2 linked regions of the Lonchura striata genome follow. Each later gene encodes a partner of the first gene's protein in a complex. Links are inferred from orthologs where the notes say so. Each region holds a gene or a part of one and is shown on either strand. Other genes may lie near its edges.

Region 1 (7,607 bases):
AAGATCATTCATCTGAAATCACAAGCAAAGACAGAAACTTTGTAATGTCAGGATACTAATTTTCTTAAAACATCTGGGGAAAGAGGTTGGGATTCAATGGATTAGAATACACCTAAGACCAGACATTATTACAGAGTCTCAAAAGATAGAGAGTCTGGCAGATCACAGAAAGGACTTAGAGGAAGGAAAAAGCAAATAGCTTTAGAGGAGACAGCCTTGATGAACTAATCCTGTGAGGTAAAAAGTTGAATGGAAAAAACAAAGAAATGGTTCATTACAACAAACCTGACTAGCTTTGAAAGGAAGCCAAGCATCCCTAGAGGTCCAAACATGGTTTAACAAAAAATACACATTTATACTAGCTGGTTAGTATCTTTATAACCCAGTTTCAACAAGTTTACAAAACAGGAAGGTAATAGATAAGACTAATTTTTTTTAAAAAAAAGAAGATGAAGTTATATGATAGTCATTCTTCTTTGAGAATCAACTTGTTCTGGCAAAACCAGGCATAAATTCATGTCAAATAGAAAACTAAGAAACTTTCTAAAATTATATAGAAAATGCAACTGAAAAAAATCACACTTGTAAAGTTCTTAATTAAAAAAAAAACCAAAAACCTCTTAAACTGCTGAAGACACCTTATGCATTAATCTCAAGATTTTAATTCATGGCAGAGTCAAAAAAAATTGTCTAATGAACCAGCATGACAGTATCTGCCAGCAAGTCTGTTTCAAGTGTTTAGGAAAATGCTAGCCCTACAAGTCTAGATATTTGACAGGATAGATACTTCTCTGGATAGAGAACTTGACACATGGACTTAACTTTAAACACCACCTGCACCATTAGTTCAGCTGAGGAGCACACTGGGAGATGTGTGGGCACAAGGGCTGTAAGCAGGAAAGAGAAAATTATTACCTGCAATCAGGAACTACTGCCAGTACAGCCGAAGTGGGGAAAATCAAATAATAAAGCCAGAAACCTTTGAGGAGAGCTGTGCAACTGCCTCCTTGTTCATCTTTAGGAAGAAATATGTATATTTTTGCAGACAGTAGAAGGTATGATCAAACAGCAGTGTAACCAATCTCATCAATCAGCAGTGTAACCACATGAAGACCTTCTCAAATGATAACAGATTCCAGTACAACCCAAAAAAACCTGAAAACTTTAGAGTATGCTACTTAAAAATGCAGTTTTATATACATGCAAAATGTTCTTACCCATGTCCCTTTAAAATGTCCAGGTTTTTTATACCAGGCTTTGCTGTCCTCACTTCCACAAACATATACATGATCCATAAGGCCATTGGAGTATACAAAACACTTTCCTAATAAAATGGTGTATAAGAATATAGTTAATGCTTATAAGATTGTTTTTAGGCAACAGCAATTTCAAATTGGATATAATGGCAACACAGATTTATTTCTGGTTAGTTACAGAGGGGCAAAATAATTTGGTAAGTCAGTAATGACAGATTAGGTCAAAGGAAAGAGGGTACAAATGTACCACTCAGACTGCCCAAGTAAATGGAACTGCCTTCACAAGGCTCCAAGAGACATATTCAGGTTATATTACCATCTGCTGAAAGGTAAAAGTAACAGAAGACCTATATATCACTACTGTATGTAACTGTGAACATCTTTCAGACTTTTAAATCTTTTATTAAGTAGCCTCAGCATCCAATTCAAGTGGAGGTATTGTATCTTGTTATTGTTATTATTATATCTTATCTTGGTCTGTATTTATACTAGATCATCCCCTCCATTTGTTTTTCATTTCTCCTACATTATGTGCTTTCAACCTGTTTGATAAAATATTATTGCCATTACAAAAACATACTTTAAGCTTCACATTTGCAGATTGCTGAAGGCTTTAGAACTTACTCAAAACCAGGATAGAAGGCACAAGTATTTTTCCTAATTTAATTTGCAAGTGTGACTGCAAATACCTCCACATTCAACATGAAAAACCAATCATCTTCTTTCCTTTTAAATCTTATTTACTAAGTACAAGTAAATAGTAGGAACCATTAGCACATCTCTGAGAGCACAATATCTTCATCTATTTAGAACCCAAGAGACAAGGGACTTGTTAAGACTTGTCCATTTCAAAAATCTCTGGATTCTGGAGGAGATGAACTTTGATATAACATCCTGACCACTTAAGCCCTCTGATGAAATATTTATTCATTTAGTAACAGCTTTTTATTGTTTGACTCAACTTAGTATTAGTTGTACATTCTGCCATAATAAAAATATTAAGACAGAAAAAAAAAAAAAGCCTGTTAAAAATGGTATAGATGTATGGGATTTTTTCTGTTTAGTACATATTAGCCTGTTGCTTTCCCCTGCCCCCACCCCCAGTTATATTAGAGACACAAAATCAAACATTCTGCACCTCAGCACAGCATTATGACAACTATCAGCTAAATACAAGAGCAAAAAGCAAACTGTGTCCCCCATTACACTACGTATTTGTTTGTTTACCTTTATGGAATGGATTCCTTTGGGCTTGCAGTCGAATTTTGATAACATCAAGAGGAGTTACTAAAATAAAACAGAAGTCATTTAGAAACACTCAGTATGCCCTGAAAATGTAGAAGTCTACAGAGGCTTTATCATGAACTTTTACAACCTTTTTTTTGTTTCGGGGTGGCGGGGCGGGGAGTAGGGAGAGAACCCCACCTAACAGATTTTACAGTGTTATCAAGCAGAGAGAAAAGGGATGTTAGCAGACAGAGACAATGCTATCAGAGACAAAGGACAACTACACACCCTATATGGTTTGCAAGATATCAGATCTATCTTTTCTAATTTACCAACAGCTGCATAGGCATGAAATATTAGAGATACACAAAGCTCATTCAAAAACCACTGTGTCATGTTGTCAGTTATTGCTTTTATAAATAGCATACCGTAAGGCAAACAAAATCAAATTTTGGCCTCTGGCATATAAAACAGCACAACATTCTTCATGTGTTTGTTCTTTTTCAATAAACTGACCATAATACAACTTTCAAGAAAACAAAAGTTAAATTCATTTTGTACTTTTCTTTTCTTGTTGCATGTAGCCAATATGTAAAACATTTGGGTTCTTGAAAAGTGAAGGTTTAGTGAACATTTCACTGCTTCCACTGCAGCCCTTACAGCTGTCACAGGCTGAGACATGTTGAACGCTGCAGTGGCTGGGCAGCTGGGCCATCTTCCTCTGATTATGTCGGCTGAGGGCTCGATTCCACATGTTCGTGGAAACATACATAAGGAGACCTCATGCTGAGTCAAACTGAAGAGTAATCACTTTGTAAGATTCTCTCTGTGGCCAGCTTCATAGTATGCCTTACCAAATAATGATGTAATTATAGCTCCACAACAAGAGGCTATTGCTTGCTGAGCAATGGTTAGTTTTTGTACATTGATATCACTCATTTCAGCCATGGCTTTATCTCCAGAGTAGAAAAACCTGTTAAGGAACAGAAAAACATATTGTAAGACTACGCTCAAAATTTGCAGAAAAAAAGTCAAGGGATAAATATTTTCAATTTTCATTACTAAGTTATGTAGAACCAGCAATATTACTTTTCTACTTATATAGAAGCATCTCAGTAATTTTTGAGATTATTTGAGCCATATTTTGCAAGTAAGTTTTCTAAAGACAATAAATCTTCAAAATTCTTCTTAAATGAATTACATTTACATGTTCTTGCAAACCCCATTAAACGTTTACCACATATTGACTTTAACTGCAACAAAGTGTCTACAAACAAGCAAATAATCCTTACCAAGATAAACTGCCAGCCTGTAGCCCATAAACTGAAGCACTGCAGAATAATTGACTCAGCCCTTCTCTTGCTCCCATCTCCTCTGAGAGAAGCCAGAAAGGTCTCCTGGCTGAGCCCACCGCCTGCTAGTGATGACTGTGTGCCCTGGCACTCCTCTGTAACAGGCAGGGACTAGCTACTCATAATGCTACCAGCAAATGCTAATTCCTCGAATTCCAGCAATTTAGGAATGCATTCACAATATCTGCAACTAGCCAGGACAGGAGAAGATAATAAAAATACTTCAGAAAATAAAATCCTCAAATAGAGGAGTGTCTGTCAAAATGCATCGTTGCGCTTAAGTGCAGCCCTAACTTTGTTAGAACCATTGATCTAAATTTTTCACTGGCTTCACAAGAATGTTTTGTTATTTTCACTACGCTTCAAGTTAGAAAGGATTAAGTAGCACAAACCGGCTCTGTCCTCTCAGGTGCTAACAACTGCAACGGCAGGTGGGGATATTGTTTATTTTTCAGGTATCTCTAACTCAGAAGGGGACCGCAGCCCAGAATTGCGTACATACCCGATTATCAGCGGCGCCGACGGGTGCAAAGGTCTCCGCCACTCAGGCACGGTCCGGCCGGTGGCGAGGGGGGAAGAACGCCGCCACTCCTACTGCTCCGCCCGCGCCGAGCCCGCGCAGCTCGGTCCCCACAGCCGCCTGCCTTCCCCTGCCCGCCTTCCCCTGCCCGCCTTCCTTCCCCCGCCTCCCTGCCCGCCCGCCTTCCCCGCCCCGGGGCGGGCGGGGCCGGCCGCGCGGGCGGTTGGTGAGGGCGCCGGGGCCGCCGCGGCGCAGGCGGGAAGGCGGCGCGGAGCGGAGCGGCGGTGCCGAGCGGAGCGGCGGTGCCGTGCCGGCGGGGCGCGATGTGACTCCGCGGGAAGATGAAGCCGAGCGCTGCCGAGGCCGCCGACAAAGGAGCGCGTCCCCGTAAGCTGCGGGGAGCTGCCGCCGGCAGGCCTGGCTTAGCCGGGGCCGCCATCCCGGCCGGGGCTGTGAGGCGCCGCAGCCGCCTCGTGCCGCGCTTGGGCCGAGCCTCGGGCCGGCGCTGCGGGCGGGGGCGGCTGGAAGGGCCCTGGTGTGCCCTGGGGAGTTACGCGTAAAAGCGTGTTCCTGGTGTGTGGGAAATGGCCGGGCCGCTGCTCCCTCCGGGCTGGCATCGCTGGTACTTGTGTGAAGGGCTCCTTAGGCCCAGGGGGTGAGAACGCACCCCCATAGCAATGAAGAGAACTCTTCATTGCTGTTGTAGTTTTGCTAATGCGCTCCAAACTTCTGATTATCCCTGAGCCGTTTAATCTGCGTGCTCCAATATTAATTCCAGTTAATTTCTAAACGGCCCTGGCATGTGTGTGGTGAGTTTTACACTGTATTTTATCCGTGATCATCTACGGAATTGTCCTTGCACACTTGCTTATCATCCATCCTTTCTGTTCAGATTCTGGATCAGTTGCACCAACCTATATCTCTTAATTTTCTTATTTCTCTAGGTTTTTTTGTCTTCCACACCGTACGAAACTGACTGCTGTTCCTGCGTTTTTTAGTGTGCTCATATACCTTAGAGGATTTTGCAGCATGAGTAGTGGTTCTGCTCTCTATCCTACCTGGGACTGTTTCAGGGAGGGAAGGAATACTTTCAACAGAGGGACTGTTTTGCATTTTGCCTTTTTGTCTCCAGAAGAGGCCTGCTCACTTCCTGTGGCAGCTCTCATTGTCTTGAGCTCCAAAAGAGAAGCAGCTAGGAGTAAGTCAGTGAGGAAGAAGAACCAATGTAAAGCCAATATGTGGAACTGTGCTTTGAGCAACGTGATCTAGTGAAAGTGTCCCTGCTTATGGCAGGGAGGTTGAAACTAGATGATCTCTAAGGTCCATTCCAGCCCAAGCCTTTCTATGGAAGCTTGCTCCATCCATTTCCTTAATTTAGGAATTTTCCCTTTCAAAAATAAAGCCGACATCCAATTCTGTTTAAATTGCCTGGTTTTTTTTTTCTGCTTTCCCCAGCAGATGGAATACAAGCAAAAACAGAAAAGATAAGATCTTCCCTGAAGAATGTGAAAAAAGACACAGAAAAGCCAGAGAAACTCAAATTTAAGCCGCTCACTGGGAAGGTGTTTTACCTCGATATCCCATCAAATGTGATCTCTGAAAAGTTAGGAAAGGACCTCAAAGAGCTGGGAGGGGTAAGTTAATAAGAGTCATGTATGATCCTAGAAGGAAATGTGCACATGTGGAATGCCTTTTTTGTGTTCTTTGTAACTGCATTTTAATGTTATTTGTAGTTAGCTGAGATAGGGTCTTATTTTTCTATGTTTGTCTTAAACTTTAGTCCAAATAATGAGCTTATCAACAAATTATTCTGTGGGTTTTCAAGAGAAGCTGCTTTCCTGATTGGAACAAAAGTTCTTATTAGGAAGTTTTATTTTCAGTTGATTATTCACCTGGCTTAAATTTTAATCCAAATTTACTAGGTTTCATTGTTTGAGGCGATTTTTCTTCTGCTGCTTCTGACTATATTGACATGTTTACATGTTGCAACTAACAGTGCTTAGCTGAACCTGGAAGAGATTAAAGAAAGAGTTTTGTGTCTGTTTTCTGTAAGTCAGAAACTTCACTAAAAGCATTTTGCACAGAGTATCTTAGTGAGTGTTTTTGAATACTCTTACTTAAACAATAAGTTTTATAAGCATCTTACTAATTTTTTTACTAATTCTCCTTTCTATATGGAAGGAACTCTGATACAAGCAAGTACAGGATGCTTGTGTGGAGGGCACTTAGCAATGCCTCTCTCTGTATATCCTGGTTCTGTAAAAGATGCACAAACAGAATTGAAAGGCACAGTTTCAAGTTGTGTGATTTGTTCTTTCCACACTGATTAGTGGAAAAGAGGAAAATACCTCAAACTATACAATCTGACATGAAATAACAAGGCAGATAGCAAAACTGAAGTTGGCAATGAAAGAGACTGAAGGAGCAAAATTGAAGAGTGGACTCAGAATGATGGCATTTTTATATTGCTGAGTATAAGAATATGAATCTACTTAAGACTTTACTTTTTGGAGAAATATTATGAAAACTGTAGGTGTGAAACATGGTAGCTATCCTGAAATTTTATTTTTTCTGCTGGTTCTAAACTCAGTAAATTTATAGCTTGTTGCAGACTGTAAATTACATTTGCAAATACCTGCCTGTATGTTTAGCTGAACACTTCTGTATAATTCCTGTTACCTAAAATTAGAGTAATTTCCTTGAATTAATGTTATTCCTTAATGCAGTGTTTGCATTCTTGTAATTGGAACGTATTACAGGTAGGTAGTAAAAAATTGTAACAATCATAACAAAGCAAAGCTCTTTTAATGATGATTACAAAATTAAGAAATTGAAATTAGAATTTGTGGCTGGTAAGATACTAGTACAACTTAATTGTCATTGTCATCCAGATATTTAGAAAATATTTTCTTGTTAACTCAGTGTGTTTGAACTTAATTGTTTTAGAAATTTTATCTCTTTCCTTTAAAAGATTTCATGTAAAATTGAGTTACTGATCTATTGTCCTGAAATAATTACTTAGTTTATGTCTTTATATTTAGAGAGTGGAGAGTTTTCTTAGTAAAGATATCAACTATCTGGTGACTAATAAAAAGGAGGCAAAATTTGCACCAACTCTTGGCCAGATTTCTCCTGTTCCTAGTCCAGAATCTGCATCTAATGGAGGAAATGGTTCACCTCATCCTAGCAACCGAAAAGATCGACATGATGGAAGCTCATTTAAGATAGTAGATACAGTAAGTTTCTTAGTAA
Region 2 (7,433 bases), on another chromosome or scaffold:
GCAAGGGGATGTTAAGGATCTCCTGCCTCTGTTTGTGCTGGATACAATTCATCAATTACCTTCCCGGATCTTGCTTATTGTGTTTCTAAGGCTGGAGGATGGCACAAACAGGGAGGCTTCTAGTTTAATCGACCTAGCAAGTGGTTAATAGATGTGCTCTAGTGTCAGCACAGATTCCTTTAGGCCTGTCGGCAGACAGGAAAAGTTTGATTCAGCAGCAGATTCTGGCAGCAGTGGATGCAATCACACAGCAATGTTTGGATCCTTTCTTGGCGAGCTCCCAGATGTGGGTTTTGGCGACTGCTTGTCAGCCAGAGGGGACATTCTGCATGGGCCTGGCTTGTCATTTGGCTTCTCATCCTTCATTTCCAACCTAGAGATAAAGCCACAAGAGAAGGCAGTGCAGCAGTTTGGCTCACAGAGCATTAGATGTGCTACTTTGTCATTTTTAGTTGATGCAATTTCTTCTCTTTCCTTCTGAGCAGTTCCTGCTGTGGTGCAGGGTTGGAGCTGGATGCTCAGTGTTGAATGAGAAGATGGAGCCTTCTCTGCCCCACGAGTGAACAAGGAGTTTCTGCTTATCCAAGCCAACAGCAAAGAGAGTGTCTGATGTTACAGCAAAGGCACAGAAGCTGTGCAGATGCAGAGCAGAAGCTTTACTTTTTCTATAATCAATCAAAATAGAGCAAAATAAGCTAAATAAGGTACTTAAGCAAGTACTGAGAAAATAAGAGTGGAAATGGCACATATAATTGATTTCTCTCCTGTGAAGATGTACATGGAGAAAAAAATTGATTAAGAGGTAACTTTTGAGAAGATATAAGAAGAGTAATATCCAATTTGACTTAACTTCCTCCTTAAACAGAGGAGAAAGAAGAAGGTAAAAAGACATAAATGAAGGCAAGCATCAAGGCTGGAATTTCTGGTAGGCTAAAAAGAGTGGAGCAATAAATTAAGAAACAGTATGAGATTATAGTATAAAGGCCAGTTATGCTCATGGGAACAAAAAAAACATTTTGATATGATAGAGAACCAGAATCACTAGAAGGATGACATGAGAGAGCACAACATATTTGAATCAATAAGAAAGGAGAAAATTGAGAGGAGCTAATGATCAAGCTAGATAAATTACCTGGGTCTAAATGAAAATAATTTTAGGTGTTGAAACCAAGATAAATTGAGACATTGCAGGGAAAGAAACCACAGCTAGACAGGGTCTTGATAAGAAGATATAAAGAAAGCAGATTTCTTGCTGTGTGAAAGTGCAACTGAAGTGATGAGGAGGAAGCTGGTCCGAGTATGACTGACAGAGAAGTGCCTATAACAGGAGCTGTACAGAAAGGGAGGTGATTTGGTATTCCACATGAGGGCAACTCCAAGGCAGGGAGGCCAAGGAAGTTGGATTAAACTTTGACCTGGCCAGGAGGCAGCAGAGCTAAGTATGCAACCTGTAAATAATCAGCAGCTATTTTGCAAGTATTAACTGGCAAATAGAATTCCTGGTTCAACAGTATTCAGAAATGGCTGTAGGTAAGATTGTCCCAAGAGGTTAATTTAGAATGATGTTGCTTGTCATAAGCACTAGGACAAACCTGCACTCATGAAAGCTTATGATGCCCTCTGAACTTCTGTAAGTGGATATAAGAACAAACAGAATTTGGCCTCCTTTATTTTGTCATTATACCTCATTTTATTAATGTTTGGTATAATCTGCTTTTAAATACAGTCACACTTAACTGAAATTATTGAGCTGGCACACTTCACTAAATCTCAAGGTGCAGTACTGACTTCTTAGAGCCCTAAACAGAAAGTGCAAATGAGAACAACTCTTAGAAAAGAAGAACCCACACATCAAACCAAAACCTGCTCATCTCAACGTCCTCCTTCTAAAATGTATAATAGGAAGCACAACTTAACAAAAGTGGTAGACCCTGTTTCTGCATTTGACAATTTGTTAACCCAAGTACAGCTTTATAGCAGGTAAAGCCAAGCTAGAACCCTTGCAAACTTTGACAACCCCAGGCTTAGCTGTTATTTACCAAGGGCTGCGTTTACAGATCTCTGCCTGAAATATTCAATAAACAAGATTATTTTGGTTCATATTCTAGTGAACAAGAGATTTATGCATTATCAAGTGCAGTGGAGCTACTCTTCAACAACAGTAATATTATTTTGTCTTTAAAAAAAGAAGAAATATTGACCAAAAATGGGTAATAGACAAGAAGTGCTAAATTATTTCATTTACAAACATACAACTGCATTAGTTTCAATAAAATCCAACTACTCCAAACATCAGGTAACCTTACACTGAATAGTTTCAATAGTTCTTCCAAATCCTACTCATTGCTGGACAGCAGCTACAGCCCTGACCGGAGCCAAGACGGAAATTTAATGTTGAATTCTGTGCGATCCTTTTTGTTGTGTATTCAGGCAGTACGGCAGAGCTGCAAGCCAAGCCGTTCCCCCGTTACAATGGCGTAGGTGGAGCCATTCCTTGGCCTCTGGGACGTTTGACTAGATTTATAGCGCAAGAATTTACCGGGGGCTTGGGCTGTTTCGCAACAACCACACGTAGGACACGAAGTCTAAGGGACGAACACCACCGTGGGGCCCGGAGCGCGGCGGGCGGGGCAGTCCCGCGCGGGGCAGTCCCGGCGGCACAGGCCGCGCCCCGCGCCGCTGCGCGCGGGCCCCGCCGCTCCAGCCAATGGCAGCGCGCCCTTCCCCGCCCGGCGCCGCCATTGGCCGGGGCCGCCGCTTCCGCCGAGGGCCGGGATTGGCGGCGGCGCGCGGGCGCGAAAGGCGGCGGCGGCAGCAAAAAGCAAAACCCCGGCGCGCGCCGGTGCCCGCGTGAGTGCCCGTCCGCGCGCGCGTGTCCCCGCTCCTTCCCCTCCCTCTCCCTCATGCCGCCCCGGGGCCCGGCCCGGCCCGGCCCGCTCCTCTGGGGGTCCCCGCTCCGCGCGCCCTCCGCCCCTCAGTGCCCGCCAACCCCCAGCGGCGGCTGCCCGCCCGGCCGGGGTGGAGCCGAGTGACGGCTCCACGCGGGAGCCGCAGGGCCCGTCTGTAGCCCGTGAGCCCCGGGCCGCCGGGGAAGGCCGCGGTGTGCGCTTGGGCCGGGGCCCCGCTGGCGGGCGCTGTCCCGTAGGGGCAGTGGCGGGCTCGGCGCGTTGCCGCTCTGTGTGGCCCTGGTGACACCAGCAGCGCGCACGGGGCTTTGGCTGCGGGACGGCTCTGGCTCGCCTGTAGCCGGCGGCTGTTCTGTATCAGTGTGTGCAGCCCTTGTGCTGCTGCTGGGGCCATGGTGCTGCCCGCTCGGAACAGGGGTATCTGATCTGCCTCCTCACCCTAGCAGCGGGAGTGCCTGCCTGTGAGAGATCAGCACCGGCTCCAGTCGCGTTCCAGCGCTGTCCAAGTCCCTCTCCACCAAACCTCCCGCAAAAAACGGGGCTCGAGAAAGACGGCTCCTGCCTCTTGTCCCTGTTGTTACACAAGGATGACAGCGTAAAGGCAGCTCAAATTCTTTGGGGACAAAATGTATTTCTGGCTCCATAGCTGAAACAGATGAATCCTTGCATCAGGAGTTTTTCAGAATTTGTTTCCCCCACGTGGAAAAGTTCATCCAGATCTATAAAGGTTTAGCATACTGACAAGGAGGGAAGGCTTTTGAATAGAACTAGTTTTGAGTAACTGTTAAGAGCTGCTGCTTCCAGGCTCATTTATCACTGGTTGTTCTGCCCTGGAAGTCCCTGCCACTCTTTTGCTCCTGAAAAACAATTATCAGGTTTTTTTGGTTTTGTGGGGGTTTTTTTGTTGGTTTTTTTTTTTTTTTTTTTTGGATTGTACAGTTTTAGTGGACTTCACTAGTTCATAGTTTTATGTGGTGTTTCCAAGATTTGGGAAGAAGCATTTCAAAATAAGCATGTTCTATTTTTCTTGTGGTGGGAGGGCAATGAACAATTATATTTTGTTGAATTTATCTAGGAGGGAGAGATCTCTCTTATGGAGAAGATATTTTTTTCTCTTATACTTTCTTTCAATCTTTCTGACTTTCTATAGCTTTTGCAGTGTGCAGTGCAGCTATTTCTGTGTACATCAGCCTTTCAAAGCAAACTTTAGGGAAAAGACAATGTTTAATGTGAATGAGGAAACATGAGAGATGAAAATCAGTTGTATTTAAGCGTATCCTGCAGTCTTCCTTCCCACCCCCATCCTCATTGCTTTACTGGTTTACTGTTTCACTTGGATGGTGGGTACACTTTCTTTTAGTTTGCACAGAGGAACTCCTCAGACTCCCCTAAATCTCATCTCAGGAACTGACTGCAGGGCTAGGAAGTGTCTTACCAGATATGCTTGCTCCCCCAGGTGTCCAGAAGTGGCCCTCGAAGTCTTGTATTTTTTTTCACTTGAGACTTGTTTTGTGATGGAGACGGTGTTGAAGTCTCCCTGTGATGAACAGCACCCTCAGCAGGCTGAAGAATTCCACGGGAATCTTGAGCAGAGCAGCAAGGTTTCAGGTATGTGCTGAAATAGGGATTGTGAACATTGCATTTTGTTGCCGATATGCTGCTTCATCACTTGGGGAAATGTCAGTATTGATTATAAGCCTTTCTGTATAAGATTTTGCTAAACCTACTATTAATATATTACAGAACATGTTATTATAAGAGGATACCAGAATGAAAAAAAGGCAGCCCTTGAGAATAAAACTGACCAGACAAGTGCACAAACCCAGTATTTTGCCTTTTAACCTATAATCACCAGCCTTATGCTTCAATAGATATGTTTATATCTATAAAAACACTCTTGTTTTTCTTGTAGAAGTTGAACTGAAAGAGGTTTTGTTGGTTGTTTCTGAGTCTCTTTGTGTACCTGAGTCTCCACTTTCTGTACAATGCTTGCTCAGGAATCCCTGATGGTCAGCCAGTTCATAGATATAATGGCTTCTGATTTTTTTAAAATACATAATCCTCTCTTAGACTCCTGCATATCCATGCCCAGATTGATGCTGAACAGTGTTTGTATTGCTTTGCAAATAGGAGAAGAAATCACTTTAAAATCTGGTCATAGAAAATGCTGGCTAATATTATTAATATTATTTCTCTGATGGCACAATGACTTTATGTTCTCTGTACCCAGCTGAGGATTCAGGACCCTGGAACAGATCAGGTGATGTTTACACTGCTGTCCTTCAACAAGGACAATCACTGACTTTTTCCAGCACTTCTCTCTTTCACACAAACCAGCTCTGTTGAGCTCCTAAATGCTGTCAGTGCCTTGAGTAGGCACTGCAGCCTCTGCCACCCTGCTTGAAACGGTCTGACAGCTTTAACTTTCTCCAGGGAGGAATCTGAATTCAGTGTTGGACAAAATGGAGTATCTGGCAGATTCTAAAGCAGTTGTTGAGTTAGTTCTCCATGGTTGTTAGGATATACTCAGGATTTTTTCATTCCTGAAATATTTCACAAAATGTCTTAAAACAATTTGAAGAGGCAGAGAGAACAACATAAAGGGTAAAAAAGGAATGTAAACGGATAGTTAAGTGAGGCAGCAGGTTTCAGTTGTCAGAAGCATTTTTAGTATGTTAGTTTTTATAAAATCTTGAAATAAAAAAAAATTAAATTGAAAGTTAACTATGACTTGAATTACTAGCTGATTTATTGGGTTTTTAGCAGGAAGAAAGTGTTCTTCAGGCAGTTTTTGTTATTGTTTAAAGTAAGCTACATAGAAGGCTAGGGATGCATGTTAATATATGCTTTGATTCCAGCATATCTGTGATTAAAAAAAAAAAAATCTTATTGCTTATGATTTACTGCCTTGGTGAAACATGGTCCATTTTTACATATATAATACATTACAATTTATCTGTTTATGCTCAATTTAATCTGTTATTTATTTTTAGGATGAAAAATGTATACACATTTGATTGACTTTTCACAAATACCTTTTTGTGCTTTGTTCTGTATACTAAAATATTCTTTACCCCTGGCTTCACAGAAATTAGTCACAGCTTCTACACAATTTATAGCTTCAAAAGAAGTGAATTCTTCTGTGGGGTACAGAAAAGGCTTGAACAACAAGGATTTGTAAACTGAATGGAAAACTACATCATTTTCTTGAAATAATACATCCTTGTCGTGCCATCTAGTGATTACAGCACGAAGTGCAGCAGCCAAGATGCAGAGCAAACATGGGCTTTGGTGCCAACTATTTTAACTAACAGTGGGAAAGATGGCATTACCAATTTTTAAAATATCTAAAAAATACTGCTTTTTCTGCATTTGTGATTTGCATATGATGGATTTACACTTCTGCTACAGAATCAACTGTTACAGTTTTGCCTTTTGTCAATTGCCCTTGCAAATCCTATGTAAACATTTAGTGATGAGGTGTGGGTATCCTAGGAACCAGGCAGCTTTTGCCCTCTTGGAGTCTGCTGTCAGATAAGTAAAAATGTGTAAATGCTGCAGCTTAGAAAGAAGTGTGATGAAGAACAGCAATACCAAGTGTCCACATGGTAATGTTAACAGGATGGAAAACCTTTGTGCTGTTTTTTCCTTTGTGTATGTGAGTCCACAGTCCTATGAAATGTAATTTGTGATCTCCAGAATAGATCAGATATTGAATCAAGTAATAAAATTCCTAACTTATTTTCCCCATTCTTCCCACAGCAGGAGTAAAAAAAGATATTGAAAAACTTTATGAAGCAGTGCCACAGCTTGTAAATGTGTTTAAAATAAAGGAAAAAATTGGGGAAGGTAAATGTTTCATTTTATTTTGCTTGGAGTTAAGATTTCTTTTGGCATTTCTAACTTAAAAAGTGTAAATCTAAGATCCTAATATACACAATTTAAGCCAAATGCCTTTTCTTGACTTATTACATGGTCTCTAGGAATTCTAATATGCTTCTGAGCACATAGGTGTATTAATTAGGAACACTTTCAAGATATTTTCTTGAAAATCTGGTCTATTAAAGCCTTGCTAAAAAAACAGCATTCCAATTTTGGCAATTAAAAATTTTTGATGTAGATTCAAGTAAATAGCCTTAAAAATCCCTTCGTTTTCTCCCTTACATGAGAAATCTACTTACATGTAGCTGTGTTCTGAAATACTTAATTGGTGATCCTTAAGTTAGCTTTGTTTCCACTACAATCTCTTGGGCAGAAGTGGATAAGGAAACTGAAATGTTGGAGCTGCTTTACTTAAAATTGAACAACTTTTTATTTTTGAAGATTTATGGTATCAAATTTTAGAATGCTTGTGTTCCCATTGCCTTCAAAAGACAGTATTGCAAATACCTTTAAATTAGTGTCAGGCATGACTATAAATAGATTCAGGTACTTCTGAGTGTGGGACTTCAGCACTTAAAAGATAGTGTAATTAAACAAAATTTCTGGTTTTACTATTGAGAGCAAACAGTGTTTTTAAAAAATACC

The links.
Region 2: the proteins of DBF4 (region 1) and CDC7 are in contact, whole or in part, in a crystal structure (PDB 6YA8), measured with the Homo sapiens proteins. The link is inferred for Lonchura striata from reciprocal best matches to the Homo sapiens genes DBF4 and CDC7. Residues at the interface, in NP_006707.1 of Homo sapiens: Thr210, Arg211, Thr212, Gly213, Arg214, Leu215, Lys217, Pro218, Phe219, Val220, Lys221, Val222, Glu223, Asp224, Met225, Ser226, Gln227, Leu228, Tyr229, Arg230, Pro231, Phe232, Tyr233, Leu234, Leu236, Met239, Pro240, Ile242, Asn243, Tyr244; in NP_001127891.1 of Homo sapiens: Asn56, Val57, Phe58, Ala77, Gln78, Leu79, Gln80, Ile87, Ile93, Pro94, Thr95, Ser96, His97, Pro98, Ile99, Arg100, Ile101, Ala102, Leu105, Gln106, Thr109, Lys121, Tyr122, Cys123, Phe124, Arg125, Asn127, Asp128, Val130, Leu143.

What each region holds. Positions count from the first base shown.
Region 1 is NC_134603.1:135,492,261-135,499,867, reverse strand, and holds the start of DBF4 (protein DBF4 homolog A), read left to right. Parts: upstream 1-4,603; 5' UTR 4,604-4,696; coding exon 4,697-4,742; intron 4,743-5,810; coding exon 5,811-5,989; intron 5,990-7,396; coding exon 7,397-7,591; intron 7,592-7,607. Other genes in the region: mitochondrial glutathione transporter SLC25A40, read right to left, coding at 1,218-1,324, 2,484-2,543, 3,338-3,431. UniProt on the Homo sapiens protein: Regulatory subunit for CDC7 which activates its kinase activity thereby playing a central role in DNA replication and cell proliferation. Required for progression of S phase.
Region 2 is NC_134611.1:20,213,651-20,221,083, forward strand, and holds the start of CDC7 (cell division cycle 7-related protein kinase), read left to right. Parts: upstream 1-4,420; coding exon 4,421-4,514; exon of another isoform or gene 4,515-4,521; intron 4,522-6,668; coding exon 6,669-6,755; intron 6,756-7,433. UniProt on the Homo sapiens protein: Kinase involved in initiation of DNA replication. Phosphorylates critical substrates that regulate the G1/S phase transition and initiation of DNA replication, such as MCM proteins and CLASPIN.